Linked DNA regions of Canis lupus familiaris. The protein of the gene in region 1 interacts with the protein of each later gene in a pairwise test. Links are inferred from orthologs where the notes say so. Each region holds a gene or a part of one and is shown in the gene's direction. Other genes may lie near its edges. The genes, in order: VAPA, mu-type opioid receptor, ZBTB22, PGRMC2, APOD, CACNG1 and ADGRG7.

Region 1 (3,339 bases):
TATATTTATATTGGACAGTGTTGGACTACAGTACCCTGAAGATGCCTCTCTGTCAGTGATCTCTTTTTTACTTTAGCTTGAATTCCTTCTTCTGATTGGATCACCCTGAAATCACATTCCTACCCTTAAAAGCACATTCACGCATGCATGGTTCTCTTTTGGTACTTGGTTCTTGTCATCTTTTCAGTATAACTTTTTCTAGGAATCTCTCCTCCCAGAAGCAAAGAAGTATGGTTTTGGAATGCTATCTCCTTTGTTTCCATGAAACCTTCGTCATCTCACTGTACCTGTTTGTTAAAGGTTTTTCTCCCTCCAGTGGGCGCTAGCTCTTTGGGAGCAAGGACCTGTGTTCATTCATCTTTGCATTCATAGCACATGCATATAGTAGTCATTCATATATTCGAATGAATAAATGGATGAACGGGTGAATGAGAACTAATTTGAATATATGCAGAGTGTATTAATAATTTGCCTTTGACAAGTACCTTATTTCAAGATGTGAATACCTTTAAATTGCCATTTTAGGTTTTGGAACTTTTTGTATCAAAGTAGATGATATAAAAATGTACATAAGTAAATAAGCTAAATTAAGTGACTTAATTTACATTTGATTCTTTCATCTGTTAATGTATATAGGAACTGTATATACTGTGAATCAGAGGCACAGTATCTTGGATTGATCTGTGCTGAAATAATTGTCTCTTTCTGTTTCACAGTACTCCTCAGGGGCCCCCAGCGCCTCTTAGGATAGTGGAAAAACTAGTTTCATTTCACACCTATCCACACATCATAGATTTTTAAGGATGTTGTTGTTACTCTTACTTTATCTGTCATGACTTCCATGGCATAGTTCTATTCTTTGATGAAAGGTGTGCTCCTTAGCATGCTCCGTACTTTTTTTGTTCAAAAAGCCAGTTTGTCTCTTGGCAAAGAGGAGAGTAGAAGTGGAAATGGTAGGAATGACATAAGTAGGGCAGGGGTGGGAAGAGTGCACAGGGAGGAAGGTGAGATTTGGATGCTGGTCTCTCCCCTTCATTGGCTGTTTGTAGGAGATGTTATTTGCAAAAGTGTTCTGCTGTTTAAAAGATAAAAGAACCTTGAAGATCACTGGCTTATAGAATCCGTTTCAGGCCCTTTAATAACATTTCATACATAAGGCCCATCATAATATGTTCTTTTTATTCCTCTAGTCCTGTGGTTCTTAAGCCAGGCTGTGCATCTCAGTCTCCTAGTGAGCTTTTAAAAAATACCAGGTCCTCCCCAGACCTAGTAAATCAGAATCACTAGGAGGGTTTTTTAAAGTTCTTTTTTTTTTTTTTTTAAATTTTTTATTTTATTTATTCATGAGAGACACAGACAGAGAGAGAGAGAGGCAGAGACACAGGCAGAGGGAGAAGCAGGCTCCATGCAGGGAGCCTGATGTGGGACTCGATCCTGGGACTCCAGGATCACGCCCTGGGTCAAAGGCAGGCGTTAAACCGCTGAGCCACCCAGGGATCCCGGTTTTTTAAAGTTCTTGAAGGGATTGAGAATCTGTGTTCTCTTCATGTAGGACTAATGAACAAAGACTAAAAAACCCTACAAACCCTCAGAGAATGTAGTAATTGCAAATAAAACAGTATGACCTGAGGTGGACTTTTTCATTTGGTGTTACGGAGCATGTTAGAGGAATCAAAGTGAGAAAATAAAAATGAGCTTGCACTAAGTAAGGAAGTAGCAGTCTGCCCTGTCATTCATCTGGTTGGGATGATGGACACAGATAAAGCCAGTTGCCTAGGTAACAGGTATCCGTATTTTTCCCAGGGTCACACAGTGGCTGGTAAAGTGTCTTAACAACTTCCTATTTTGAGTGATTACTGCTTTCTTACTGAGAAACCTTGTTCCCTAAAATCATACTGTCCAAAACTTTGCTGTGTGGAATCATACCAGTAAGAACCAAGCAGCCCTTCTTATCTAGAGGATCTGAGTCACTTTGACACACAGAAGCCCAGCCATCCTTTCCAGTCTAGGGGCATGCCTCCAGTAGGGGGGGGTAGGGGGGTAGGTGAGTTCTGTATATAACATTCCATAGCTGCTGTAGTTTGTCGTTTCCGAGGAAGCAGGATTTTGGTGTTTCCTTTGCGATCAAGACTCAGTGCTGACCCTTCTACACATATACCTTCTGCTTTGAGCTTAACGAAACACTTGCTATTTAAATTTTATCCTGAAATTCCCCCTTCCTGCAAATCCTATAAAATGCCTGTCTTTTCCTTTGGCCAGCTACTCCCAGTGCCTCTGCTGTGTGGGTGCCCTGGCTGCAGTGTGTCAAACCTGTTAGACCACAGCTTTGTTCGTGGTGGTCTTTGGTAACCAGTATAAAAATACTGCGGGCCACCATGGAAAAAGTGCATGCACTTTTATTAACATATTTTAGTGGAGTTTTTTTTCCTGTTGTATAAATATAGTTATACCTGCTTTTCAATTTTTTAGGAGTAAATTTTCAGCTCTAGTTTTTAAAATCGACATTATTGAGGAATCATTTATATTCCATTAAGATGCCCACTGTGAGTGTACGATTCAGTTATTTTTAGCAAATTTACAGAGTTATGCCACCATTACAAGACTCCAGTGTTAGGATGTTTCCATCACCCTAGAAGGTTGTCTTAATGCTGGTTAGCAGTTAATCCTTGATCCCATCTCAGCCACATGCACACTAATCTGCTTTCTGGCTATAGATCTGTAGCTTGGCAGTTTTACTGTATGCGTATTTGTTTTTAAAACCTCTTTGTGCATATATTTTTTTCAGGATGAAGGCTTAAGGCTCAGAAAGGTAGCACATTCGGATAAACCTGGATCAACCTCAGCTGCATCCTTCAGAGATAATGTCGCCAGTCCTCTTCCTTCCCTTCTTGTCGTAATTGCAGCCATTTTCATCGGGTTCTTTCTAGGGAAGTTCATCTTGTAGAGTAAAGCATGCAGAGTGCTATTTTTTTTTTCTCTTGACCAGAAAAAGATTTGTTTACCTACCATTTCATTGGTAGTATGGCCCACGGTGACTTTTTTTTTTTTTTTTTTTTTGTGTACAGCGTCATATAGGCTTTGCCTTTAATGATCTCTTACGGTTAGAAAACACAATAAAACAAACTGTTCGGCTCCTGGACAAATTGTATATTACCAGATCATCACTAGCAGATGTCAGTTGCACATTCAGTCCTTTATGAAATTCATAAATAAAGAATTGTTCTTTCTTTGTGGTTTTAATAAGAGTTCAAGAATTGTTCAGAGTCTTGTAAATGTTATTTTAATAATCCCTTTAAATTTTATCTGTTGCTGTTACCTCTTGAAATATGATTTATTTAG
Region 2 (4,689 bases), on another chromosome or scaffold:
TGTGTGAATTGTATACTAGTTCATATGAGCATATGTGGTAAATGTTTTTTACTCATCCTTAGGAGATCTCTATGAACTTTTATCACTGAAATTATACCCTCTAGTGTAAAAGGATAAAAATAATATTAAATATTGGCAAAGTAACCTATGGAGTTTAATGGTGTTTACCTATGAGTTACCTGTTTTCAAGAAAATGATAATATTGGAATTAAACATTTTTTCAAGCTCCCTAAGCCACTCCTCTCCCTGTTCCCCAAGAGTGTTGCTTTCTACAACCAGCTGGGTATATCTAATATCAATCTTTATTGCTAAAAAATATATACCGGGCAGCCCTGGTGGCTCAGCGGTTTAGCACCACCTTCAGCCAGGGGTGTGATCCTGGAGACCTGGGATAGAGTCCCACATCAGGCTCCCTGCATGAAGCCTGCTTCTCCCTCTGCCTCTGTCTCTGCCTCTGTGTGTGTGTGTCTCTCTCGTGAATAAATAAATAAAATCTTTAAAATATATATACATAACACAAATACACACATACAGTTATGGGAATTACTTCAGGATTAGTATTAATTTACCAAAAAGCAAACAAATAAATAATAACAAAAATATCTTACCCCTGGTTGATTTACACATGTATTTCTAAAATAGAAATATTTAGGGTCTTGGAAGTTAGGTATCAAATTTAAAATGTATCAATATTCCTCAACCTTTTGTCAGCCACTCCAGTTCCAGATGTCTATGAAATTCCTCCTGGAATCTCTACACTGGAAAACAGACTGATATAATGCAAATGTTTGATTTTGACAACCTCCCACTGAGAAGCACATGTTCATGTAGCAATTCTGGCAATAAAAGAGATAATAAATAATTCTAAACGAATCTATGAGATCTAAGATGTGGGGGATCACCAATATCTTTCGTTGCTTTCCCAGATGCCACCACCCTCTGATTTCTATAACATGTTCTTGTGCCTTGTCCCCACCAGGGTAGAAATCAGTGTAACTAGAGCTTCTACTTTAAGAGAAATTGGGGACATATGGAGTAAAAGGAATAGATTTCCTAGACAAAAGTTTGCTTCTCACTTCTTTTTCAGAGAAAAGACCACGTTTGTTTTAAAAAGCTTTGTAGGTCTGAAAATTTTCATTTACTGATGTAAAAAAACACGGTTAGTTTTGTGTGGACATGAAGGACTGAGCTAAGGAGGACTAAGGAAAAGGAGTTTGTGAACCCTGTCCCGAATGATTTCAGCAGACTGGAGGGCTGGAGGCGCGCTGGGGTGTAAGGATTGTCCGGGTTGTACCAGGCCAATGTCTTTCCTTTCGTATTATACAGAGAAAACGGAGCTGGGAAAACAGACTGACGTCAGCCCCCTTTCTTATGTTTTCCTGCTGCCAAGAACTCACTCTCTGTCTCCCCCATCCCTTCCCCATTCTGCCGCTCCTTAGGTATGCTTGCACCGACGAGTGCCTTTTGGGAGACAGACCAACTCGTTGGATCGCTTTGCGCAAAATCCACCCCTTCTCTCTCCTCCCTCCCCTTCAGCCTCCGGATCCCGCACAGCCCTCCCTCCCCTCCCCACAGCGGTGTGGGGTTGAGGATGCATCTCTACTACTAAGGCGGAAGGGGGCTGCAAGCAGAAGATTATGTCAGATGCCCAGCTCTCCCCTTCTACCTGACGCTCCTCTCTGGCTGCACCAGGGCTGGTCTCTGTAAGAAATAGCAGGAACTGTGGCAGCGGCGAGAGGAGGCGGCCGAGACGCGTGGAACCTGAAAAAGTCTAGGTGCTCGCGTTCACCTCGTAGCGAAGTCCCAGACAGCCGTCAGCACCATGGACAGCAGCTCCGTCCCCACCAACGCCAGCAATTGCACTGATCCCTATACGCACGCTTCAAGTTGCTCCCCAGCACCTAGCCCGGGTTCCTGGGTCAACTTCTCCCACCTAGATGGCAACCTGTCCGACCCATGCGGTCCGAACCGCACCGAGCTGGGCGGGAGCGACAGCTCGTGCCCTCCGACCGGCAGCCCTTCCATGATCACGGCCATCACCATCATGGCCCTATACTCCATCGTGTGCGTGGTGGGTCTCTTCGGAAACTTCCTGGTCATGTATGTGATCGTCAGGTAAGGAAGGCGCCAGGGCTCCCACCAGAGACTTCAGCAGCTAATAGGGGCGTAAAGGGACACCTGATCCCCCAGGCAGCGTTTGGCGGGAGGATAAGAGAAGGGAGGTAAACAGGGGAGAATATGGGGGCGACGGTAGGTAGAGTGGTTGTTGTGAGTGCAAAAATCTACTTTTCTATTTTTCCCTCCATTGTTAAAGAACCAAAAATTTCAGAAACAGATAAGTTGCTTTAGTGGAAGATGTAAAGCTCTGCGGGGGGTGGGGGGATGTTCTGTCTTAGAGCTCACTTTCACTGAGCCAAGAGGGTTCTTGGACTCAGAATCCTACAGTCCCTTCCACAGGAGCTGTGGAAACAATAATTTGTGAATGATGGAAGAGAAATTCTAGTTAGTTTTCCTGATGAAGGGAAATCTCCTTTTCATGTCTGAAGTTGAACTTGAACATGCAACTTCCCTATCCCTGCTGGCTTCCAGGTACTTTGCTGCACCACAGCACCCCCCTCCATTCCCTTGTCACACTTGTCCTTGCCCCACTGTTCCTTCCATCCTGAGGCCACACTCATTGAGAAAGTTTTCTGTGGTAAACAGTGTTGCTTTGCAGGAACAAATATGACTGTTGTGTTGCCTAGACCATTTGGCAGTTGGCAGCTGCAGATCTGCTAGGGGAGTCACAAACTGAATTGAGAATAGATTAGTGTGGTTCAGGAGATCTGTAGGGCATGACTGTTTTCCAAATCCTCTGAAAGTGGGAACCAACTAGAAGTGACCTTAAACATCATAATTCTGGATTATAACTATCTTTAGGAACTTACAGTGGTTTCTCTGAAGGGAAAAAAGTGTCTTAATCAGTGAAATTTTTTGAAAAGAGTTTGTGGCTCATTTTCTTTCTACCTAGATACTCCAGGTTTATTTGGCAAAGAATGTGCAAGCTTTCAATATTAATTGAGATTAATGTAGATTGTGTTAGTGTTGGTGTGCATATTCAAATCCTACTTCTAATATGGAATACTATATATTCATTTTTGTTAAAGTAGAAAAATATTTTAACACTTTAAAATGGTTTCTAATTTGGGGTCTTCTTCCTACTACAGATTATATGTATGTAGTGAACATAGTATTTTCATATTTAGTTACAATATTCACTTCATCTATTCAGCAAGTACTGCAGGTTGTAATGGAGTTCCTTAATCATTTAACAATCATTTTTCCCCTTATGCTTTCCTGACCACGGTGCTGCAAGCTGCTTGTAATCGATTATTTCTCATATGTCTGATTTCCTTAATTAATAATTGTTAAAGAATAAAACTAATTTCTCTAATCTTTTGATGAGGAATAAGATAAGTAGTGTCTCTGAGAAAAGAGCACCATCTATTGAGAAGAAGGCTAACAACAGAAAGGAAAATGTAGGAAGGAAATCAATGGAGAATTTATTTTTGAAAACATTTACCGTGTATAATGAAATACAAAGACTCATATCAAAGATAAAAACCATGTCTCACATATTTACAGTTATGACAATAAAAATCATAATTAAAGGGTGACCTTATGAGAAGAAAATATATTTCTCATTTGTCCTAAGAAAATTCATAGAATCATAAGCTGATAGGGCTAGAAAGGACCCTAGAGTTTACCTATACCAGATGAGTAAACTGAGGCACAGAAAATATTAATGATTTCTTCAAGGATGGATAGTCATTAGTTCAATAACTGTATTAGTTCAATATAATATCTATCTTAGCCAGTATAATTTTCTTTTTATTAGAGTGGCAAATCATGATTTGAGTTAGTCCAACTAAAATAATAACAGAGTAGATTTAATTAGAAGTAATAATGTGGAAATAATAAAGTACCCTAAATTTATGTCTGAAATCCTGGAAAATAAATGATGAAGAGAAATTACCAAAGTGTGTAGAAATCCTGCTGTCTGAAACATAATCCTGTATTCCTTTTTATTGCTTCTTTTGGTATTTTCCTTCCTTGTTTTTTCTCCCTCCTAGTTTTATGCTTTTCTATAAAGAGAGTCAATAAAGCAGCAACTGGCTGTGAAATAAAAAGATTGGTCTTATTTCAGTGTTTAAGAGATTGCTGGTTGGGTGAGTTTATTTTAAAGGCATTACCTCTGACCTCTTAATGACTTGGAGGATAGTGACATTGCATCTTAGTGGGAACATGATATTATGCTTTTACTTCTCTGTACTGAAAGTTCTAACAAAATGCAGTATGATTTGAAAGGTCACCCAAACATATACCTATGGCACATTTGGTGTATAATTCCATACTTATGTAACCTTATGGTAATATGACAGTGACACAGAAAAATGAACAGTTTAGTGAACAATAAAGTGACGAAGAAAGCATTTGGAGATTGAGAATATATGTTTATTTAGCTTAGAATATTTAACTGGACTCCAAGCTGTGATGTTTTCACTACAAAATGATAGTTCAGAGATACTATTGCCTCTGTTTAAAAGATAAGTATAATGCTACATCTATTAAATTATTGAGGTGAAATGCTCACTTTCTGCTATTATTTAAAATTCAACAAATATTTTTGAATGGTCAAGTGCAGTTTAT
Region 3 (4,663 bases), on another chromosome or scaffold:
CCCCAAGTTCTCATGCTCCCTCTCCCCTCTTTTCTTCTTTTCCAGGTCAGGATGGAGACAAGAGCCCTATGTCCCCACCACGGATCTCCACTGAAAAGAATCTGGAACCTAGCAAAGGGATCAGCAGGTCTATGGGGGAGCAGCAAAACAAAGAATTCACGGTGTCACCATCATCAGAAGAGCCCTTGGCCCCCTCCAGCATAGATGCTGAAAGCAATGGAGAAAACCTTGAGGAGTTACTCCTGGAGGAAGAGAGCCCTATATCTCAGCTCTTTGAGCTAGAGATCGAAGCCTTGCCCCTGGATACTACCCCTTCCCCTGAGGAGAGGGACATTTCCTCTTCCAGGAAGCAGTCAGAGGAACCTCTCACCACTGTCTTGGAGAATGGAGCAGCCATGGTCACCTCCACTTCCTTCAATGGAGGGGTGTCTCCTCACACCTGGGGAGATTCCTGTCCCCCCTGCAAGAAGTCTCGGAAGGAGAAGGAAACTGGAGCAGAGCCATTAGGAAACAGGTAACAACAACAAGGAGGAAGAATAGGGAGGCCAAGGAGACATTACAGGGGGCTTTCTGAGAGGAATATTGAGGAACTGGGTCTGCTGGGAGAAACTGGACACTCCCCCTCTAGCCTCAGGCTCTCCATACCTCCCTACATATTTGCATTTCTGTCCCTAGCTATGTGGAAAGGCAAAGGTCAGTGCATGAAAAGAATGGAAGGAAGATACCTACTCTGCCCAGCCCACCTTCTCCCTTGACTTCCATGGCCCCAGTTGCGGATTCCTCAACGAGGGTGGATTCTCCTAGCCATGGCCTGGTGACCAGCTCCCTCTGTAGCGCATCTCAAGCCCGGTTGTCCCAAACCCCTCATTCACAGCCCTCCAGACCTGGTACCTACAAGGTAAGAGGGGGAGGCAGTTTTTCCCTGACTTAATTCTCTTTCATTGTCTGTTCAGTTTCAGGATTTTCATCTGAATATTGCACACACCACATCCTCTCTCTTCCTTTTTTTCTCACCCCAATTTTTAATCTCGGATAAGTCCTTTCCTCTGCTCCTCCTCTCCGTATATTCCGGACGCTGCTTTCTGACTCTGTCTCTCACTCCCCTGCAGATGAGTGTGGCCACACAGTGCGATCCAGAGGAGATCATCGTGCTCTCAGACTCTGATTAGCTGCCTCTCCTCCCACTCCCAGCCTCCAAAGTGTTTTGGGATAGTATTTGGAGGATGGTGGGAAGCTGATGACTGAGGAAGGGATTGACTGAGCTAATCCCCTTTTTGGTGGTGTTTCTTTAAAAAACAAAAACAAAAAACCAACAAAAACTTAAGTTTTACACAGAAACATTAATAAACAATAAAGTTCTTTTCTTATTGTATCCCTGTCTTTTTCCTTGTCCTTCTACGTTCACCGCTCGGCACCAGTCGTTCTCTGGCTCAGGGTTAACCTTGGTCCTGGGCTACCCCTTGGAGCTGTCCTTTGTAGCCTGTCTTTAGCTCGCCTCCCGGAGTTCCCTCGCCCTCAGACCTTCCCCTAGCCCTCGGCCAGGCACTTAAAAAAAAAAAAAAAATCAACTTGCTGCAGCCTCCCAAACTCGCTTTACTTTTCTCACTTCGAGCGGTAGGAGTAAAAAGGCCAATCAGGGGCCGACTCAAGGTTATTTTGGCCAATCCGTGCCCGGAGGAAGGGGGCGGGACTTCAGGGGGGACTGTCAGAAGCTGGGACAGCAGGGCGATTAGATCCCGCAAGCCCACTAAAGGCCACAGCTCAGGGGCGGGGCCTAAGCAGCGACGGCCGAGACCCTTCGCCAATGGGAAGGGCAGGCTTACAGAATTAAAGGGGAATGAGTGCTTCGGCCGAACCACCAAGTCCTGAGTTCTTCAGCGGCAGAAGAGGCCTGGTACCTTTAAGGTGGAATGAGGCGGCTGTTCTTTAAAGGAGAAGTGGACGAGTCGGCCGAGTATTGCCTAGTGGCACGGGCAGGGGTGCCCGCCTGTACCTTTAAAGTCGGAGGGGCGGGAGGCGGAGCGGAGGCGGAGGGCGGAGGGAGTCGGCGCAAGATGGCGGCGGGAGGGGCCCAGGCTGCGGCTCTGGCCGCCGAGTGAGGGGCGGGGGGGCCCGGGGGCGCGCGGCCCGGTAAGCGGGGACGCGCGGGGTTGGGGGCGCCTTCCGGGTGGGAGAGGAGGTCGAAGTAGCGCTTGGGGCGGAGCAGAGGGGGGCGGGGTCCAGCGTGGGCGGGGGTAGACAAGGGGCGGGGCCGAGAGGGCCACGGGGGTGGGTCTTGAAGAGGCGGGGCCGAAAGCCCACGGGGCGTGTCTTGAAGGGGCGGGGCTAGAGGTAAGCCGGGGGGCAAAGGGGGGCTTTGGCTCGCGAAAGAGCTGGGGGGCATAGATCCGGAGGGAGGGATGTTCTTAGTACAGGAACAGACTTGCCCCCTCCCAAGAAAAGGGTGCAAAACACCAGTAAGGTAGATTTGGGAAAGTCAGGCGCTCAGGCAAATGGGGAGTTCTGAGGAGAGGCGCCCCACTCCCCAAGAGTACCTTACTTCTCTTAATATCCAAGGAAGGAGCACTGCATTTGGAATCAGGACATCTGCGTTTGCTGGCACTGCCAGTTACTGGCTGTGTGATCTTGGATAATCTCGTAATCTGAGCCTCGGTTTGCTCATCTGTCAAATAGGGTTGAGAGGAATGCCTACTTTAGGGTGTTGTGGGGAACTACTCAGATAAAGGGTACGAACATGTTTTTAAACTGTAAAGTGAAGGGCTGTGTCATTATGGAATGTTATCCTTCTTCTTTCTTTTTCTTCCCAGAGACCCCCCCGGCCGCCCTTTTCCTTCCCTTGTTCCTGTGGCTGGGGGGGTAACCCCTCCCTCCACGCCATGGAGCCATCTCCTCTCTCTCCCAGTGGGGCAGCACTCCCCCTGCCTCTGTCACTGGCTCCGCCCCCACTGCCCCTGCCTGCAGCTGCAGTGGTGCACGTGTCCTTTCCTGAGGTAACCAGTGCCCTTCTGGAGTCCCTCAATCAGCAGCGGCTACAGGGCCAGCTCTGCGACGTGTCCATCCGTGTGCAGGGCCGAGAGTTCAGGGCTCATCGTGCTGTCCTGGCTGCCTCCTCCCCTTACTTCCACGACCAGGTTTTACTCAAGGGCATGACCTCCATCTCGCTGCCCAGCGTCATGGACCCAGGCGCCTTCGAGACTGTCCTGGCTTCGGCTTACACTGGCCGTCTCAGCATGGCTGCTGCTGACATTGTCAACTTTCTCACAGTGGGGTCGGTGCTCCAAATGTGGCACATCGTGGATAAGTGCACTGAACTCCTCCGCGAAGGCCGGGCCTCAGCCACTACCACCACCATCACCCCTGCTGCAGCCACCTCTGCCACTGTTCCTGGTGCTGGGGTCCCATCGGGGAGTGGGGCCACTGTGGTCCCTGCCACCGTGGGCTCCGTGCGCTCCCATGCCTCCAGCCGGGCCAGTGAGAATCAGTCCCCCAGCAGCAGCAACTACTTCAGCCCCCGAGAGTCCACTGATTTCTCATCTTCCTCCCAAGAGGCATTTCCAGCTTCTGCGGTGGGCAGCGGGGAGCGTCGAGGAGGTGGCCCTGTATTCCCAGCCCCTGTGGTTGGCAGTGGGGGGGCTACCTCTGGGAAGCTGCTGCTGGAGGCAGATGAGCTGTGCCATGACGGCGGGGACGAGAGGGGTCCTGTGGTTCCTGGGGCTGGGCTCCGGCGGCCCACCTACGCACCCCCCAGCATCATGCCACAGAAACACTGGGTATATGTGAAGCGGGGTGGAAATAGCCCAGCACCAGCACCCCTGGTTCCCCAAGACCCAGATCTGGAAGAGGATGAGGAGGAAGACCTGGTGTTGACCTGTGAGGATGATGAAGATGAAGAGCTGGGGGGTGGCTCCAGGGTTCCCGAGGCGGGAGGACGGGAGGCCACCCTAAGCATAAGTGATGTCCGCACCCTGACTGAGCCTCCGGACAAGGGAGAGGAGCAGGTCAATTTCTGTGAGTCTTCCAATGACTTTGGCTCCTATGACGGTGGGGGTCCTGGAGCAGGGCTTGATGATTCAGGGGGGCCAACCCCTTCCTCCTATGCCCCCTCCCACCCTCCAAGGCCCTTGCTTCCCCTGGACATGCAGGGCAACCAGATCCTGGTTTTCCCATCATCTTCGTCCTCCTCTTCCTCTTCCTCTTCCTCACAGGCTCCAGGCCAGCCACCAGGGAACCAGGCTGAACACGGGGCGGTGACCCTGGGGGGCACGTCGTCAGGGGCCCTGGGCATGCCTGGTGGTCCTGGGGGAACCCCCGGAGGGACAGGCAGTGGGGATGGGAATAAGATCTTTTTGTGCCACTGTGGGAAGGCGTTCTCACACAAGAGCATGCGTGATCGGCACGTGAACATGCACCTCAACCTGCGGCCCTTTGACTGCCCCGTGTGCAACAAAAAGTTTAAGATGAAGCACCACCTAACGGAGCACATGAAGACACACACAGGCCTCAAACCCTACGAGTGTGGTGTCTGCGCCAAGAAGTTCATGTGGCGAGACAGCTTCATGCGCCACCGGGGACACTGTGAGCGAAGGCACCGCCTGGTTGGGGGCGGGGGCGGGGGCGGGCCAGGACCCGGGGGGCCCACCGGGCCAACCTTGCCCCTCAAGAG
Region 4 (4,538 bases), on another chromosome or scaffold:
AATAAAACAGCCATCATCTGGGAACCTGGGTGGCTCAGGGTTGAGCATCTGCCTTCTGCTCAGGGCGTGATCCTGGAGTCCCGGCATTGAGTCCCACCTCCGGCTCCCTGCATGGAGCCTGCTTCTCCCTCTGCCTGTGTGTCTGCTTCTCTCTGGGTCTCTCAAGAATAAATAAAATCTTAAAAAAAAAAAAAAAAGATTAGACCCAAAGTGTTACTCCCTTAACACACCTTCATTCTTTCGGCACACCGGTAGTCCACAACTGGCCGTTCTTGGGGTGGTTGTGTGGGAACTCACCAACACCAAAACAGACCAGGGCAGGAAAGCCCAAGTCCAGTGAGATGAGCGCCTGAGGTAAGGGGCCCAGAACAAGGCTTCAGAGGTGAGACATTTACGCCAGGTTTTTTGTGTTTTGTTTTGTTTTGTTTTTAAGGACTTGGGAGCCTAAAAGACTACGAAGGACCTAAGGAGATAAAAAGAAATCGTGAGTTAAAGCTGAATGAGGGAACAGAAGGACCGCCTCATTCTATCCACTTCCCTACCGCCACAGACTATTCATTCAGGAACAGCACCTTCAGCGTAAAACCTGAAAGCGAATTCTGCGGGAGCGGCCTCGGCCAAGACCACCGTCGGTGGCGGCTCGGTGCCGGCGCAGACAGCAAGCGGGCTCCGGGCGCCCAGCGGCCCCGGCGCGGGCTCCGTGCGCTCCTCCTGCGCCAGGAGGGCTCCAGCCCGTCGCCAACACCTCCGGGCGGCAGCTCTGTCTGCGCGCCCACGCTCCTGGCTTCCAGACAGGCGCGACGGCGCCCGGGGGGGGACAAAAAAGAGACGCCCCTCAACAGTTTGCGCCAGTAATGAAAACTGGGTCGCGGCCTCCCACAAGCCGCCAACCTGCGCCCCCGAAAAGGCGACCCCACGAGACTGAGACTCCGCCTCCGCGGCCGCCCCGGCGCACGTGAAGTCCCCGTGCCGAGCCGCCGCGCTGAGGCGGGAGTGCGCGGACGCGAACCCAAGCCTGGGAAGGGAAGCGATTCCGGGGCGCACGCGCGTAGAGCGGAGGGAACCAACCGGGCGGGGCCGGCCCCCCGGAGGAGGCGCAGGGGAAAGGAGAGCGCGTGGCGCTCCGGAACCCGCGCACGCGCTGTAGTGTCCCCCCGCCTATGCGCGCGCGCGCGCGGCCGGCGCTGCATCTTTTCTTCAGGCCCGCCCCTCCCCGTCTTGTACTTCTGCAAGCCGAGGCGCTGAGCGAAAGCAGGGAAGTGTGGGGCGAGGTGGGCGGGGCGTCGCACGCGAGCGCGGCCTGCTGAAGAAGGGAGGGGGGAGGGAGCGATCCGAGACAACGTTACCCCTTCAACACCCAATGGAGAGCAGGCTTGGCCCCGCCCCCTCCCCTCCTGTCATTGGCTGGGAGGCCCCCAGAGGGGCGGGGTCGGCCGTGGGGTTGGGGAGGGCAGGGGGCGGGGAGGAGGAGGAAGGCGCTGGCGGGCAGTGATGGCGGCGGGTGATGGGGACGTGAAGCTAGGCACCCTGGGGAGTGGCAGCGAGAGCAGCAGCGACGGCAGCAGCGAGAGCCCCAGCGGCGTGGGAGCGGCAGCAGAAGGGGGCGGCTGGGCGGCAGCAGCGTTGGCGCTTCTGACGGGGGGCGGGGAGATGCTGCTGAACGTGGCGCTGGTGGCGCTGGTGCTGCTGGGGGCCTACCGGCTGTGGGTGCGCTGGGGGCGGCGGGGTCTGGGCACCGGGGCCGGCGCGGGCGAGGAGAGCCCCGCTGCCTCGCTGCCTCGCATGAAGAAGCGGGACTTCAGCTTGGAGCAGCTGCGACAGTACGACGGCTCCCGCACCCCGCGCATCCTGCTCGCGGTCAATGGGAAAGTCTTCGACGTGACCAAAGGCAGCAAGTTCTACGGCCCGGGTGAGGAGGAGTTGGAAGGGGAGGGGGAGGACCTCCTGCAGCTCCTGTGCGACCCCCCCACCCCCCGCGAGACGGGGAGGCCCCTGGGCTCCGGGTTAGTTTGCCCAGCCTTCCCGACGTCTGGACCCCTGCGGCTTGGCTCCTGCACCTGGGACGGCCCGCCCCACACACACCCCCAGCTCCGGGCGCCTGCAGGTCACCCCCCCGGCCCAAGTGCAGGTTTCAGTGTCGCCCCAGGAACCGGCTCTCAGCTCTCCTCTTTCTCCCATCCCGTTCCTCCACGAAGCTTTTTCTTCTGCTGATTTTTTTTTTTTTTTTTTCAGAATCTTCCCAGTTGTCGCCCGTCACGCTAGCCCACTACCTTTCTTGAGCTTTCTGATTCCTGGGATGGGTGGGGGCAGGAGGGACGGGAGATGCCTAATGTAGGGACCCAAAGTTTGTAGGCCAGGTAATTCACAGCTTTCCTTTCTTTACTCTGTTTTGTCACTGATCTCCCTTTTCTCTACTATTCCCCATAAGGCCACGTTTAGGTACACGTACTTCCAAGCCCCCACCGTTTAGCTTGTGAAGTCTGAGCATATAAGCAACACCTCAGACTTTTTTTTTCAAACCAGTTTTAGTATGGAGATGCTTTCCAAGATTAACACTGTATGTAGGATGAGGACAGACCAGAATGTAGATCTTAATAAAGACTGGCAAGGATAGTCTCCCTGAGTTTTGGAGGTGGAGCTCAAATACCCAGCAGGCGGGCCTGCCTGGTTTCTTTTTACTTTTTTTTTTTTTTTTTTTTGATAGTAGGAAGGCAAGTATTCAAATCCACGTTGATAATGACTTGTGTTTTCACTGAGCAGCAAAAACTTAAAAGAGCTACATAAATCCATACCCCAGTGCACCAGTTTTGCAAGTTAGAGATTTTTAGAACTTTGCTTTCCGAGAACCGTGTGTGCAGGGTAGTTGGGTTAGAAACCCTTCCTTTGCAATGTAGTTACAGCATACATTTCAGATTATGCTAATAAACTTCAGTTCAGACTCATGGAACCTGTTGGTATACGATAAAATTGAGCAACATTGTACATCCTGGTTATGTAGTAATTAATCCTAAACTTAAAGTGACTACAATAAAAAAATACATAATAAAATTAGGGACCTAGAGTGACCTGTTATTCTAAAGAATACATCCAAGCCTCAAATTCGAGGGGGTTGACAAGTCCCAAAAAGAAATTGGTTTCTTCTTGATGTAATCTGTTAGTCCATGAGATTCACTGGCACTTAGAAATACGAACTTCTGATTTCAGCGCTTGGTGGCTGGAATATATTTTGGAAGTGCTTTGGTTTGCTGTTAAATGGAATAGAGATAAATTGTAGATTTTTATGTGTTGGACTATTTAATTTTTAGTTGCTTGTATTTTTGTGTATAGATCCGCATTCACTTTAACCAAGTCTTAGATAATGCTTCTGGTTGTTTAAAATTGAAAAGCAGATGTCTACATACTTAATTCAGCCGAAAGGGTTAATACTTTTTGTTTACTTGAAAGTATATGGGACAAGAGAATAGGGCCAAACTACAGTAATTAAATGGACATACCTATTTAAATAGCTAATTTTTCTAAATCAAGGATTTGAACAGTATTTGGTACCTGAAGTTTCTTTCTCATTGATAATAAAATGTATATGCAGTAATTGGAAACTGTGTATAGGTTTAGATTTTCAATATTGAGCTTGCCCAACTAAAAGATTTGCTTTTGCAGCCCCTATCTACACTGACAGTGAAACAAACAAAGTATTAGTGCAAAGAAGCATATTAGTCCTTGCGCATTATGCCTTGCCACTATCTGCAAATAGCTAGGAAAGGCTGTCCTACTCACAGTTTAGCAGCCTCCAGTGGCGAATGTTATACAATAGAAATTAAAAATTAAGAGTCATAGATGTGATGTGGATAGCCTTTGTGTGGCTTAAGCATTGAGCAAGCTCCTCAGATAATAAGGGAGAAGTCAGTTTCAGGTTGGCTTCCATTAATTCCCATGTCCTGATGAACAGCCAAAGGGTAATTACTATTTTCTAAGTATTTATTGATCAACCTAGTAGAGATGTTTGGAATGTTATATTATTGAAAGGAGCCTTGAAAGGAGCCAGATCATCTATGGGCTTGGAATATGTTGATATTTCACATTAATAGAAGATGTAACAGTTTTTCCAAAAGTCTTGAAGCCAATTTCTGGCTATGAAATAGATATAAGTTCAGTTTGGGTTTTCATTTTTATTTTCATCCTCAGGTCAACTGAGCACTTCGTAATAGAATAATTCAGAAGCAATGATCTTAGCCTGACAATCTCAGTAGCTTGAAAGAATGAGCTGAGAAGCAGAAAACCTTATTCTATGCCTAGCCAATATCTACATTTCACAGTGTTGGTTTTAGAATTAATAATTATTTTGTGGGTTTTTTTCTGTGTCGAAGATACTGTTTTTTTAGTCATTTCTAAAGTTCAGGTCTTAAAAAATTAAATATTGACAATTTAGTGGAGTAAACACATGTTGGCAAACAGTTGGCATTAACTACATTTGTCAGCATTAAATTTAGTAACAGTTCAGGCACTTGGCCAGCATGTGAGGAAAGTGGTCATGTAAGAAA
Region 5 (4,054 bases), on another chromosome or scaffold:
AGAGAGGCAGAGACACAGGCAGAGGGAGAAACAGGCTCCATGCCGGGAGCCCGATGTGGGACTCGATCCCGGGACTCCAGGATCGTGCCCTGGGCCAAAGGCAGGCACCGAACCGCTGAGCCACCCAGGGATCCCCAAGTAATAGATTTTTAAGTTTCTAAAATGCTTCCAATTAATATATTGACTAAGTAAATATATTCACATGGGTCCAAATTCTAAAGGTGCCAAAGAACATTCAATGACAAGTTCTTTGTCATTGAACCTACCCCTGGTTCCCTCCCTAGGAGCAACCAGTTAAAAACAGTTTATTGTGTATCATTTGGGAGATAGTGTATACGTACACAAATACATACATAAGTGCAGTAGGCAGAATGATGTCCACACCCTGATCCCTGGAACCTGCGAATATGCTACTTTCCACGAAAAGGAGGATTTTGCTGATGTGAATAAAGTTATAGACTTGGAGATGGCCAGAGAGCGTGGATTACCCAGTGGGCTCAGTCTAATTATTGAAAGCAGAGAACTTTCCCCAGCTGTGGTCAGAGAGGTGTGATGATGGAACAAGAGAAAGAGAGATACAATGTGAGAAGGATTTCACCCACTTTTGCTGGCTCTGAAGATGGAGGAAGGGGTTCAACCAGCCAAAGAATGTGGGTGGCCTCTAAAATGTGGACAGGGGGATCCCTGGGTGGCGCAGCGGTTTGGCGCCTGCCTTTGGCCCAGAGCGCGATCCTGGAGACCCGGGATCGAATCCCACGTCGGGCTCCCGGTGCATGGAGCCTGCTTCTCCCTCTGCCTGTGTCTCTGCCTCTCTCTCTCTCTGTGACTATCATAAATAAATAAAAATTAATAAAATAAAATAAAATAAAATAAAATGTGGACAGGGCAAGAAGACAGAGTCCCCTAAACCCCCTAGAAAGGAACACAGTCCTGCCAACACCTTGATTTTAATCAAGCTCACTTGATGTACACACCCATGAGACCATAAATTTGTGTTGTAAGCTTGTGGAATTTGTTATAGCAGCAATAGAAAATGAACATAATAACCTTTCCCCCCATTTTCCATATACTCTTATTTTTTACCCAGCTCTTTTTTTCCATTGAATGCATCTTGGATATAGTTGCATGACTCCTTTAAAGGAGGCTATATAACATTCGGTTGTTTGGTTGTGCCATACACATTTATGTACCCAGTCCCCTACGAATGCTCACTTAGACTCTAATTTCCTGTCTTTTGTTCTTACAAATAGCACTGCATCAAATAACCTCATAAATGCACTAGATGTATTTTCTTTGCTAGATATTGTCAGATTGCCCCCCATGCAGGTTGTAAATTGGAGCAGTCTCCATGCAAGGCAGTGCATGGAAGCATGAAAGTACTTGTCTCTCCTTACCGTCACCCACACCATTGCACACTTCCTTTAATGTTGACTCTGTACACGAAGCTATGAACGGAGACCAAGTCCCCAGTGAAAGAATATCAATCTTCTGAATCCTGATCACTTGCTAAAAGCCTTTGTGACCAACTCCCTGTCCGGGGTCTTATGAGGAGAATCAACCAACTCTGGAGTCCCAGTTCCCCAGAGTGACCATATCTGGCTTTGCACACAATTCAAAGATGCCTCGTAGAATCACAAAATATTTGAGATGGAACCTTACATCATCTGGACCGCTCCCTCTCCTTTACAGAGCCTAAAATTTCACATAGATTCTGGCTGGAGGGCCCACTGACATCATATCTAAATAAAGGTCACTTTAGGAATAAAATGTGGCATTCGACCAATGCCTGCAAATCTGACTCACTTACTCTCATTTGAATCAATATCTTGCTCAGTTGCTGTCGGGAACAGTGCAGCCCATTTTGCGTGGTTTCCCCAGGAAAGGGCTCTGCTCTAAAAGACGACAATAGGGAAGAGTTAGCAGGTCCCCAGAGAGCCACAGGGTTTTCTCTGCTTATTGTTATCTCTGCAGTATCTTGGACGATGGTACGAAATTGAGAAGATCCCAGTGAGCTTTGAGAAGGGAAGTTGCATCCAAGCCAACTATTCGCTAATGGAAAACGGAAACATCAAAGTGATAAACCAGGAGTTGAGGTGAGTGGCTGCGGTTTCAAAAGCAACACGGTCCCAGAGCCAGCCTGCAGAGAGCTGTCCCCGGGTGACTGGGTGTCCTTGCGGCCTAGCTCAGCGGGGAGGCAGACGTGGCTGCGTCTGCACTGACTACTCGCAGCAGGTCCTGAGATGAAGGCTTTTGGCAGGCAGGATGGTGGGGACTAGAGGCCACTCGCTTATTTGCAAGACCTCTTGCTGGGCATCTTACTGTATTGTGTACTTACTGTATTGTGTGTTCCCGGCGAGCACTTACACTTATTCTGGGCCTGTTGTGTGTGTGCCCCTGTAAAAGGTACTGGGGACTCAACGGGAATCCAAACTGCAGGGTTCCTGCTCTCCTTGCAAAACAGACACGCTGGTAGCAAAGGGCAAGTGAGACTTTGATCTGATCTGATCTCCAAACCAAGAGAGAAGCTCTTTCTACCTCATCGACTGACAGAGGGCATCCAGCTCGGCTTGAACCCTCCCAGGAACTGGTTGCTCATGGCAATTCATTCAGCCGTGACGACTAGAAGACGCCTGTTCTCATTAAGCAAGAATCAAATACATTCATAGCCACACTCTAGGGTTCGTGAACAGGATAGCCTTTAGAAGTATGCTTTTCTGTTTCCGAGAGCTTCTAACCGAGTTCTATTTCGATAGAAAAATTCATACTTTAGAAAGCAAACATAAACTTTAAAAATGCCCCAGGAAGACCTCCTACCTACCTTCCATCAACAAAGATAAGAGCAGGGATGCCTGGGGCCTCCGTGGTTAAGCAGCTGCCTTCAGCCCAGGGCGTGACCCCAGGGTCCCGGGATCGAGTCCCGAGTAGGGCTCCCTGCAGGGAGCCTGCTTCTCCCTCTGCCTGGGTCTCTGCCTCTCTCTCTCTCTCTCTCTCTCTCTCTGGGTCTCTCATGAATAAATAAATAAAATCTTAAAAAAAAAAAGATAAGAGCAACAGTAAACAATAGTGGCAAATATTAAGCATTTCCTGCGTGCAAGGCGCTATTCTGTGAGTGTACGTGTATGTGCACGCGTGCACCTGGGTGGATGTGTATGTAAACGAGCATGCGCCTCCGGGCCCTGAGGCAGGTACTCTTAGTAAGGCCACTTTTCTAGATGAAGAAACAGAGGTACAGGGAGGGAAGGGAACTCGCCCGATGGCCGCACCGCTTATAAGCAACGAGGCCGACGTTCAAGCCCAGAGAGCAGGGGAACGTGGAAGACAACAGCCGCCGGGAGAGAGGGCTGGGACCAGGGCCGTCCCTCCTGTCCCCTGCGGGATCTGGGAACTGTGTCGGCTCCAAGGAAACCGCCACGGCGCAGCCTGGAAGGCCCTGCGGCTCCGGGAGGCTTTGCGGCCGTCCTGGTCCCCACCAGGCTTCCTGTGCCCGACCGGGGGTGGCCCCTGGCCCTGCAGGAATCCGGGAAGCGAAGTCACATCTTAGCGGCCTAGAGAGAGAGAAAACCGGCTCATCTCAGAGCCCGGGCACGGCGACCGGGCCCGGGTGCAGGCGCATCGAGGCTGCGCCCCAGGAGTTGTCCTGGTCTGCGACGAGGGTCAGACACGGCCCGGATCGGCCGCTTCCTGACGCTGGGCCCATCCCTGGTCAGGGAGTCAGGGCGACGAGGCCTGTGTCCCCCCGTAAGCCGGCGACCACCGGGGACCCTCCTTCGTGGCCTTGGGGAGCCTGGGCCGGGCGACACGCGGCGTTGGTGCGGGTAACCCTGAGGAAGCGCGACCCGACCCGTCTGTCACCCGCTCCGCCTGAACACACAGACACGTTTTCTCCATGAACCGATGCTGAGTTTATTATGATCAGAGACGGCGCCTTGGAACTGTTCCGGGCGAAACAGAGCCGGAGAGGGAGGGCGTCCGTGGGGACAGCTGCCGCGGGCTCGTGGGTGGCCCAGCGCGTGTCCCCCTCGGGCCTGGCCTGCAGCAGCACCTCCCCCTTCCC
Region 6 (4,655 bases), on another chromosome or scaffold:
TCGGACAAGTTGCTTCGTGTGTCTGGGCCTCTGTATCCTTACCTGTAAAACGGACGTAATAGTCACACTCACCTCACGGATTGGTATGAAGCTTAAAGGCAATGGTGTGGAGGGAAGCCTCGGTGGTTCAGTGGTTGAGGGGCTCCTTCAGCTCGGGTTGTGTTCCCGGGGTCCCAGGATGGAGTCCCACATCAGGCTTCCTGCAGGGAGCCTGCTTCTCCCTCTGCTTATGTCTCGGCCCCTCTCTCTGTGTCTCTCATGAATAAATAAAATCTTAAAAAAGGGGCGGGGGGGCAATGATGTGGAAAGGTTTACCACAACACGTGATATACAATAGATACACAAGATGCGCGGTTCCTATGATTATCGTTATTATTAACAGTCTGTGACTCCAAGGCTGGACGCCTGAGTGCTTCTCCGCCCACAGGCAGAGTATTTCTGTGAGCTGTGTCAGCCTGAGGCTGGGATTTTGAAGTCAAAACCCTGCCCAGCTCAGGGGTCTATTCTTGGCCACACACTAGCCTCTTGGATAGACCCTAGAAGAGGCAACTGGTCAATTGATAAAGAAGAGATGCAGAGGGGCGCCTGGGTGGCTCAGTCTGTTAAGCATCTTCCTTCGTCTCAGGTCATGATCTCAGGGTCCTGGGATCGAGTCCTACATCAGGCTCCCTGCGTGGAGCCTGCTTCTCCCTCTGCCTATGTCTCTGCTTCTCTCTTTGTGTCTCTCATGAATAAATAAAATCTTAAAAAGAAAGAGAGAGAGAGATGCAGAACCCAGGAGGGATCCAGGGGCTCGAGCCTGGGGTGGGGGACATACGGGCTCGCAGGACTCTCTGGGGGCCATCCCAAACTGTCCTCTGTCCTCTGCTGTGTCCACACACCATCAGCCTCTTCACAGTTCCCTGCCGACCAACCCACTTCTGTTGTTTTTAACTTAAATATATTTATTTTGTAAATGAAAACAGAACTGGCGAAACGTTAATAGAAGTAAAACTCAAACAGTAAAATAAAAACAGAACGACAGTCAGGTCCAGCTAGATTCCTTGTCCTCTCCAAGCTAGTCTTTGATTCGCAAGCATCAGAAAGGTTAGCTAAAGACTTCCTTTCCTTCTGGACCCAGTTGAAGGGGTGGGAGGAGAATTGAAAAGGAAAAAGCATTCCCACGCCAGGCACAGTGCTGGGTAATGCCAGGCCCAGGAACCACCAGGAATCTTCCCGCAGTTTAGGGTTGTGCTAGGACTTGAGGCTAAAGCCAGGGAGGTGGGCCCCTGGTGGTTCTGGTGGAGGAGCCCCAAGATGTCCCCACGCAGGCTCCTGCATTCCCCAGACCCCCAGGACAAGGACCCACTCACACCCCTTTGCACTGGTGACCGGCCTGCCCAGTGTGGGAGCTGGGCTGTGGTACCTGTGTCCCGCAGGGTCCCCTGCCGTCACCCAGCTGTATCGCCTCCTCCTGCAGCCCAGAGCAAGCACATTCCCACACATCTAGTATCCCTGTGGCCTATCCCTCACTGCCTCCAACTCAGGTATCCTGAGCTGCTAATCGTGGAGATCCCAAGTCACCATCTAGAGCCTTCTCTCCCTGCCCCTCCTTGAGGTATTTTAGGTCTCAGGAGGGAAAGAAAGTCCTGAAACCCGAGGAGAAGCTATCCTCGGTGACACGCCTGGGATGTGCATTAATAGAAGCCTCCCTCAGGCCCCTGACACGTCTGGGCAGCTGCTCAGCCCCGTCTGGTGTCCCTCAGCCCCGAGGCCAGCCCACTCTGGCTCAGCCGGACGCACTAAACTTAGCTTCCACCCCCAGCTCGATAATCACCGCCACCTCCCCAGCCTGGCTGCCACCTGCGCGGGACACACTGCCACCAGACTGTGCCCAGGGCACCCACTCCTCCGCCACCACCATGTCCCAGACCAAAGCGCCGAAGGTCCGCGCGACCCTCTTCTGCATCCTGGTGGGCATCGTGCTGGCCTTGGTGGCCGTGGTGACCGACCACTGGGCCGTGCTGAGCCCCGAGGTGAAGCACCACAATGCCACCTGCGAGGCGGCCCACTTCGGCCTCTGGCGGATTTGCACCAAGCGCATTGTCATGACTGACAGCAAGGACAAGACGTGCGGACCCATCACCCTGCCTGGGGGTAACGTACCCACCCTCTGACCCCATCCCTGCCTCCTGCCCTGCTTCCTGCCCCTGGAAAAGGTGCCGCTGGGAAAGAGGGCAGGTTTCCCTGCCTCAGAGCAGAGATCGTGCCCAGCCTCGGTGCCCAGGGAAGAGGATCCGAACGGCCTCTGTCCTACTGGCCAGGGCCGCTTGTAAAGCCAGGGCGCCTGTCCCTCTTTCTGTCCCGCAGAGGCTCCCGGCCTTCACCCTGAGCAGGGGGCTACCCACCTGGGCCTAACAGGCCTGAGGCCCTGGCCCCCGCAGTGGCCACCCTTCTGGGTGACCCCGCTTTCCTTTCTCCCTGCACAGACAGGTTCAGTGGCCCTAAGTCCTCAGGCTGCAGGGACATGTGCGGCTGGCACGGTCACTCCCCAGGGTCAGCCACCAGATTTGCACAGCATAGCGCAAAATGAAAACGCAGGGCTCTTTGTGAATATTTTTAAGGATTTCGAGATGGTAACAGTGACGCACGGAGCCGAGTGTGGGTCCCTTCTGTGTGCAGGGCCTTGGTTGACCGCAGAAGCCACACATCTGTAAAGCAGGGCCCGGTCGTAGACGAGCCTCCCGCCTTTTGTCAGAACTGTCACACCTGCACATCCTCTCTTAGCTCAGACCCCTCGGAGCTGGGATGCGTGTCCTCCTGCTCTGATTTCAGTGCGTTCCCCAATTTTCCTACCCTGTGACCGAACCGCACATCCGAGGTGAGCTCCTCGTGAAGGATCAGGGTGGTATTAGGGTGACCAGTCTATGCTACAAATGCGGAGCCCTCCACACTCATAGCGAACAGAGCACACGCTGGGGAAAGAGCCCTGCGTGGAGAACCAGAGGACTGGGCTCTGCGTGCATTGCCCACGACACTCCAATGACTCTGGGGTCCACCATGCCCATTGCGGCCTCTGCTTCCCCCTGTAAAATACAGTGTTCGGGCTCTGCAAAGCCCCTTTCAGCCTTTACAAATGGCACCGTAAGGTGACAGTGGGCCAAGGCGAGTACAGGGACCCACCTGCCTTGCAGAATTATTCCCTCTGTTATCAGACTGGGTGTTCCTTGAACCCAGTTCCTTGAACTTTCAAGGAAGTCAGGGCTAAGTCCCCAGAGATCTTGCAGTCTGTGCATGGGACAAAGGAGCCCAAACCCCATTCCTCTACTTCTCCTTTTCCTCCTCTTTTCCCTCCTGCTGGCTCTAGAAAACCCCTGCCTCGCTCATTCCCCCTGGACACACAGAAGACTCGTAAATACCCAGCTGTCTTAGAAACACTGCGTCCCCGGGCCGAGGGCTTTAACAGACGTGGACATGTGCTTGAAGGGTATCACGTAGCTCACATGTCCGCGCTCCTTCAGCCCCGGCCCAGCACAGCCGTAAACAGATGCATCATCCAGCCAATTCCCATGGGTGGGGCAGGGCAGGGGGAGGCAGATTCTCCACGGACCACGCATGGGAGTGCCCTGCCATGGTCCCGTCCACCTGTCCTCAGAGGCACCCACCTTTTAAAGTCTGCTGAGTTTATAGAGCAGATGAGCAAGGAGGCGAGGCAAGTCCATACAAGGAAGGGACAAACTAGCAAGAGGTTAGCTGCACAGGCCCGACAGGCATGGTTTGGTCCTGACCCTGACCAGAGTCTATCTCTACGCCTTCTTGCCCCGCTCCAGAGTGAATCATACCTCCCACGCTTGTGAGCCCAGCCCTACCCTTGACAAGCTTCTGAAGTATGTGCCAGCAATCTCCCCTCTCCTTTCTCTGCAGATGGACACCTTCCCCACCCACCTTTCCTGTGCTCTGTGGGGTTACTTTTTTCTAGAGGGAGGAAGAGAGTGCATACATGTTCTCTCGCTTATTATTAATAGCAGTAATAGGGACCGCAAACACAAATCTGCCAAATATTGTTTTCAGTGCCTCCCATCTTTTAACTTTGAATGACATCAGAAGAAATGGCAGGGTAAGAATCCCCCTAAATGTCTTCTCCATAAAGACAATGAGAACTCTAGCAAAACACGGTCAGAACAAACCTTTTCAGAACCCTGGACACTAACGAATCTTGCAGCAATCCAGTGAGTGCTTATTCAAGAAAAACAGGTGAATCTGAGTCAGAATGGTGAGTTTTGTGGTGCTTTAACTTGCTCTATTTCTGTTCCCCACTCCCCAAGTCTATTAGAGCCTTGAAAACCAATAGCCTGCAAACAGTGTAAATTTAGCCCCCAAAGGGGACAGATGGGGCTGGATCTCATTCAAAGCCTCATTCCCAGAGAACTGTCATTATTTGATCTGCCTGGTGGTTCCCTGGAAGTCCCCACTTGTAAGGTTGTCTTTATTTGACCTGATGCTGAGCTCACTCAGTGGAAACAGTCTTTTTCTCAGGGGGCATTTGGCAAAAACAATTAGAAGCAAATGTTTAATAGCATAATTTCCTGAGGCAGTAGACAACAGTTAGGGCAAACAATAGGCTACCAAAACAGCTAGAGAGTTAGATGTCCATAGGTGGCTTGGAAGAGCTCCAA
Region 7 (4,054 bases), on another chromosome or scaffold:
AGATAGTCAGAGAATATTCTCTCCTCCTACGGCAGGCACATTATAAAATAGAGGCTCATTACAAAATGTTAATACTCTCTAGTAAAATTGAGGGTGACCATATGACAAGAGCACTGGGCTAAAAGGAGAGTTAGGCTGTCATCCAGCTTTACCATTAATTATCATGTGATTTTAGGAAAGTCGTACAACCTGAGGGAGGTATGTAAAATCTAAAATGGAGGGGGGATGTTAAAATTGGTGCTGTGTTTTCCAAAGCAAGTCTGAATATTGCCTACGTGAGATTTATATAGTATGTTAAAATGCTTATTCCTCAGCCTCACCCCTTACCTGGTCAATTGGAATCTATGGGGTAAGAGCTAGAAATCTTCACTTTAAATAGGGATTTTATTTTTATGTACACTAAAGTGCCTATATGTAAGGCTCCTTCTAGATTGAGTGATAGATTGATTTTTACAAAGATCTTATTTATTTATTCATGAGAGACACAGAGAGAGATACAGAGAGAGGCAGAGGGAGGAGCAAACTCCCTGCAGGGAGCCCAATGTGGGACTCGATCCCAGGACCCTGGGATTATGCCCTGAGTCAAAGGCAGACACTCAACCACTGAGCCACGCAGGTGTCCCATCCTTCTAGATTTAGAATGCTGTAATTCTGATAGACATTTACTAGGTGCTATAGATATTGTTTTAAAAGCACAATTTGATCTTTATGGTAGTGAGAATTGTTTGATCCATACATTTTATCTTTTTCAATAACATCTCTGGGATTTTAAGGAGTATAGAAATATTGGGATTCCACTCACACAGCTTCACAGGATGTTGTCTTCATGAGTTCTCCATGGTCTAGGTGTTTTCCTAATTCTGTACAACTAGAAATTTATCCAGTCTTTTAAGTATAGAATAGTGTACTCCCCACAAAGAGGACCAGATTTCTTATATCTTCAAAATAAATCTCTCTTGAACAATCAGGATGGCCAGTAACCACTTCTGCCCTTCCAAGACCTAAGTCCCTATGCATCCTTCCTTGTGTCATCATCAGATGGGTAAATACTGCCTCTTGGATAATGATCAAGTTAATCTTCCTGTTTTTGGTCAGAGAACTGGCCAAAGGAGAGTTTTATTAGTTAAATTCTCAGGGTCTTTGGGTTATCTTACCAGAGCATCAGAAGTCTCCTACAACAGTATTCCTAAGATATGCTTCTAGAAATAGATCCTTATAAGGCTTGGGCCCTAGAGATTCTAATCTGGAGAAATTTTTTTTAAGTAACTTTATTTCTAAAGAGTTTAAAACATGAAGTTGCAAAAATAGTAGAGTTCCCAGGTACTCTTTTCCCAGTTTTCTCCAATGCTAATATATTATAACCATAGTCCATCATCAAAATCAAGAAGTGAACATTGGCACAATACTATTACTCAACTAGTGATGTTATTTCCACAAAGGAGATAAATGAGAAATTTACAGGGGGACTCTTAGATGCTGTCATATACTTCATAATATCCTTCTATTGCAGTTACAAGCAAGAGACAGAGTAGTATATTGGCTAGAAGAGCTTTGGAATCAAATGGAGTTGAGTTCAACTCCAGACTCCACTTATTACCAGTTGAGTAATCTTAGGCGGGTTACTTAAATTATCTGAGCTATAGTTTTCCCACCTGTTACATGGGCTGCTAAGGCTTATTTTATAGGGTTGGTGTTAGGATTAAATGAGAAACATTAAATGATGAGGATTACATGAAAAGCACTGTCTGATACCAATAGGACTTCATTATGTGGTGGTTTTCATTTTAAAAGTGTATATGTATACAATGGAATATTACTCAGCCATTAGAAACGACAAATAGCCACCATTTGCTTCCACGTGGATGGACCTGGAGGGTATTATGCTGAGTGAAATAAGTCAATCGGAAAAGGACAAACATTATATGGTCTCATTCATTTGGGGAATATAAAAATTAGTGAAATGGAATAAAGGGAAAGGAGAGAAAATGAGTGAAAATATCAGTGAGGGTGACAAAACATGAGGGACACCTAACTCTGGGAAATGAACAAGGGGTATCGGAAGGGGAGGTGGGCAGGGGGTTGGGGTGACTGGGTGATGGGCACTGAGGGGGGCACTTGGTGGGATGAGCACTGGGTGTTATGCTATATGTTGGCAAATTGAACTCCCATAAAAATAATTAAAAAGTGTACAGAAAATAGTATTCAGTCTTTTGTAGATTAATTTCTCATGCACATCTGATTTTTGTACATAAAGGACAGAAAAGCAATGAATAGTAGTGCTTAAAATTGGTTTTGTTCTTAAACACTGCAGACTTTTACTTGTTGTGTAGTAACTTGTTGTGTTACTAAAATGCCAAGAAATGTACAATCATAGAATGTTAGAACTGGAAGGAGAATTAAGTGACCCATAGGCAATCTGTCTCCTTCAGGAATTGAAGTGAAGTAACTGCAGTCTACTAAAACATAAATATTTGGTCTTTGTCCTCAGTACACAGTTCCTAAAGTCTTTGGAATTGATTGTCTTGGAAGTGATGAGTATCTTTTGTATGTTAATGAATGACTGGAGGCTGGGGTCCCTAGATAGCTTCAGGCTGGAGGCTTGTTGCCAGAAAGACTAGACCTGGTTTAGAAGTTTGGAACTTTCAGCCTTACCTCCAGGAAGGGGAAAGGGGCACGAGACTGTGTCAATCACAAATGGCTAATGCTATTGGGTCCTAGAGTTGCGAATCCTGTATAATGGAACCTCCATAAAACCCCCTACATGAAGGGGTTTGGAGAACTTCCAGGTTGGTGAACATATTAAAGAGCTGGGAGGGTGGTACACCTGGATAAGGCATGGAAGTTCCATGCCCCTTCCCCTATATCTTGTTCTATGATCTCCTCCATTTGGCTCTTCCTGAGTTGTGTCCTTTGTAATAAACAGGTAATGGTAAGTAAAGATACTTCCTAAATTCTGTTAGTAGGTCTATTAAATGATCAAACCTGAAGCAGGGAGGTGGGTTTGAAACCCTTGACTTTGTAGTCAAGTCAGACAGAAGTATGGGTAATGTGGGGACCCAATGTTTGTCCCCAAACTTCACTAGCACCTGAAGTGAAGGCAATCACAGGACTGTTAACCTGTGGAATCTGAAACTAACTCTTGTTTGTTAGCGTCACAAATCAATTGGTATCACCCAGTTGGTATCAGGAAGAGAAAGAGCCTCTCAATCATACAGCCAACATGTGGTGAACTGGGACCTAAATTCGGGTCTTCTAAATCTACTGTTTCCATGTAGCACTTTATATGTGAGAGGAACGTCACCTGAACCCTCTGAGATGACAAAGTGCACAGCAGCTGCAGACGTAAACTCAGGTTGGGGAGTTGTTGTCCATGATGAGATGGGCGGGTGGCAAAGCAAAACAAATCTCTTCCCTGATTCTGTATCTTAACACTGATCTAGCATAAAACTTTTATTCTATCTGCCAGGGATTGCAAATTTTTATCCTGTACACTGTCAGAACAAAAATCTTCCAGAACAAAGCTTCCGAAGTGTTGAAGTCACTGTCGCTATCCACTGGGAGAGTGAAGCTGAAGCCATCAGTGACCACAATGAGGCTGCGTGTAAGGATGTATAACATGCTCAGGTCACTTCCAACCTTAAGTGAACGCTTTAGGCTGCTGGAGCCATCTGTCATCATGGAGGAAACGACACTCTCTGAAAGTGACCAAGCAAACCCAAGCATCTAGACAGTGAAACTACTGCCTTTGTGATCCTCTTTTTATACAATTCATGTTAAGTGTTGCTTATTCTGTTTCTTTCCTTTAATACTTGGTCCTCCCAGAGAGTCTCCTTCAATATATTTTGTTCAAGGCTAAGACTCAGGTAAAACTTGTTTATTATCATCAGGGATAATGGATTCGGTATTTTTTTCTGTCATTCAGTAGATTCTTACCTGAATGAGGTAAAGAATTCCACCCAGCATTCAGGATAATTCAAGATTATCATTGTTACTTATATCATAAATGTGACAAACTTTGGTAAAAGAAATTCTTTTACAATTTACCAAAGAGGGC

Evidence for each region.
Region 2: the proteins of VAPA (region 1) and mu-type opioid receptor interact in binary tests that used the Homo sapiens proteins (3 or more experiments, as listed by UniProt). The link is inferred for Canis lupus familiaris from reciprocal best matches to the Homo sapiens genes VAPA and OPRM1.
Region 3: the proteins of VAPA (region 1) and ZBTB22 interact in binary tests that used the Homo sapiens proteins (3 or more experiments, as listed by UniProt). The two-hybrid records come from large-scale screens. The link is inferred for Canis lupus familiaris from reciprocal best matches to the Homo sapiens genes VAPA and ZBTB22.
Region 4: the proteins of VAPA (region 1) and PGRMC2 interact in binary tests that used the Homo sapiens proteins (3 or more experiments, as listed by UniProt). The link is inferred for Canis lupus familiaris from reciprocal best matches to the Homo sapiens genes VAPA and PGRMC2.
Region 5: the proteins of VAPA (region 1) and APOD interact in binary tests that used the Homo sapiens proteins (3 or more experiments, as listed by UniProt). The two-hybrid records come from large-scale screens. The link is inferred for Canis lupus familiaris from reciprocal best matches to the Homo sapiens genes VAPA and APOD.
Region 6: the proteins of VAPA (region 1) and CACNG1 interact in binary tests that used the Homo sapiens proteins (3 or more experiments, as listed by UniProt). The two-hybrid records come from large-scale screens. The link is inferred for Canis lupus familiaris from reciprocal best matches to the Homo sapiens genes VAPA and CACNG1.
Region 7: the proteins of VAPA (region 1) and ADGRG7 interact in binary tests that used the Homo sapiens proteins (3 or more experiments, as listed by UniProt). The two-hybrid records come from large-scale screens. The link is inferred for Canis lupus familiaris from reciprocal best matches to the Homo sapiens genes VAPA and ADGRG7.

The regions. Positions count from the first base shown.
Region 1 is NC_049228.1:75,972,076-75,975,414, forward strand, and holds part of VAPA (vesicle-associated membrane protein-associated protein A), read left to right. Parts: intron 1-2,785; coding exon 2,786-2,944; 3' UTR 2,945-3,339. UniProt on the Homo sapiens protein: Endoplasmic reticulum (ER)-anchored protein that mediates the formation of contact sites between the ER and endosomes via interaction with FFAT motif-containing proteins such as STARD3 or WDR44.
Region 2 is NC_049222.1:44,382,369-44,387,057, forward strand, and holds the start of mu-type opioid receptor, read left to right. Parts: upstream 1-1,782; 5' UTR 1,783-1,822; coding exon 1,823-2,115; intron 2,116-4,689. UniProt on the Homo sapiens protein: Receptor for endogenous opioids such as beta-endorphin and endomorphin. Receptor for natural and synthetic opioids including morphine, heroin, DAMGO, fentanyl, etorphine, buprenorphin and methadone.
Region 3 is NC_049233.1:2,907,511-2,912,173, reverse strand, and holds the start of ZBTB22 (zinc finger and BTB domain-containing protein 22), read left to right. Parts: upstream 1-1,693; 5' UTR 1,694-2,130; intron 2,131-2,807; 5' UTR 2,808-2,876; coding exon 2,877-4,663. Other genes in the region: DAXX (death domain-associated protein 6), read left to right, coding at 46-514, 676-898, 1,110-1,169. UniProt on the Homo sapiens protein: May be involved in transcriptional regulation.
Region 4 is NC_049240.1:13,524,702-13,529,239, forward strand, and holds the start of PGRMC2 (membrane-associated progesterone receptor component 2), read left to right. Parts: upstream 1-1,461; 5' UTR 1,462-1,491; coding exon 1,492-1,909; intron 1,910-4,538. UniProt on the Homo sapiens protein: Required for the maintenance of uterine histoarchitecture and normal female reproductive lifespan. May serve as a universal non-classical progesterone receptor in the uterus.
Region 5 is NC_049254.1:31,201,470-31,205,523, forward strand, and holds part of APOD (apolipoprotein D), read left to right. Parts: intron 1-1,807; exon of another isoform or gene 1,808-1,892; intron 1,893-1,971; coding exon 1,972-2,093; intron 2,094-4,054. UniProt on the Homo sapiens protein: APOD occurs in the macromolecular complex with lecithin-cholesterol acyltransferase. It is probably involved in the transport and binding of bilin. Appears to be able to transport a variety of ligands in a number of different contexts.
Region 6 is NC_049230.1:13,485,244-13,489,898, forward strand, and holds the start of CACNG1 (voltage-dependent calcium channel gamma-1 subunit), read left to right. Parts: upstream 1-1,735; 5' UTR 1,736-1,901; coding exon 1,902-2,136; intron 2,137-4,655. UniProt on the Homo sapiens protein: Regulatory subunit of the voltage-gated calcium channel that gives rise to L-type calcium currents in skeletal muscle. Regulates channel inactivation kinetics.
Region 7 is NC_049254.1:7,623,702-7,627,755, forward strand, and holds part of ADGRG7 (adhesion G-protein coupled receptor G7), read left to right. Parts: intron 1-3,466; coding exon 3,467-3,727; 3' UTR 3,728-4,054. UniProt on the Homo sapiens protein: Orphan receptor.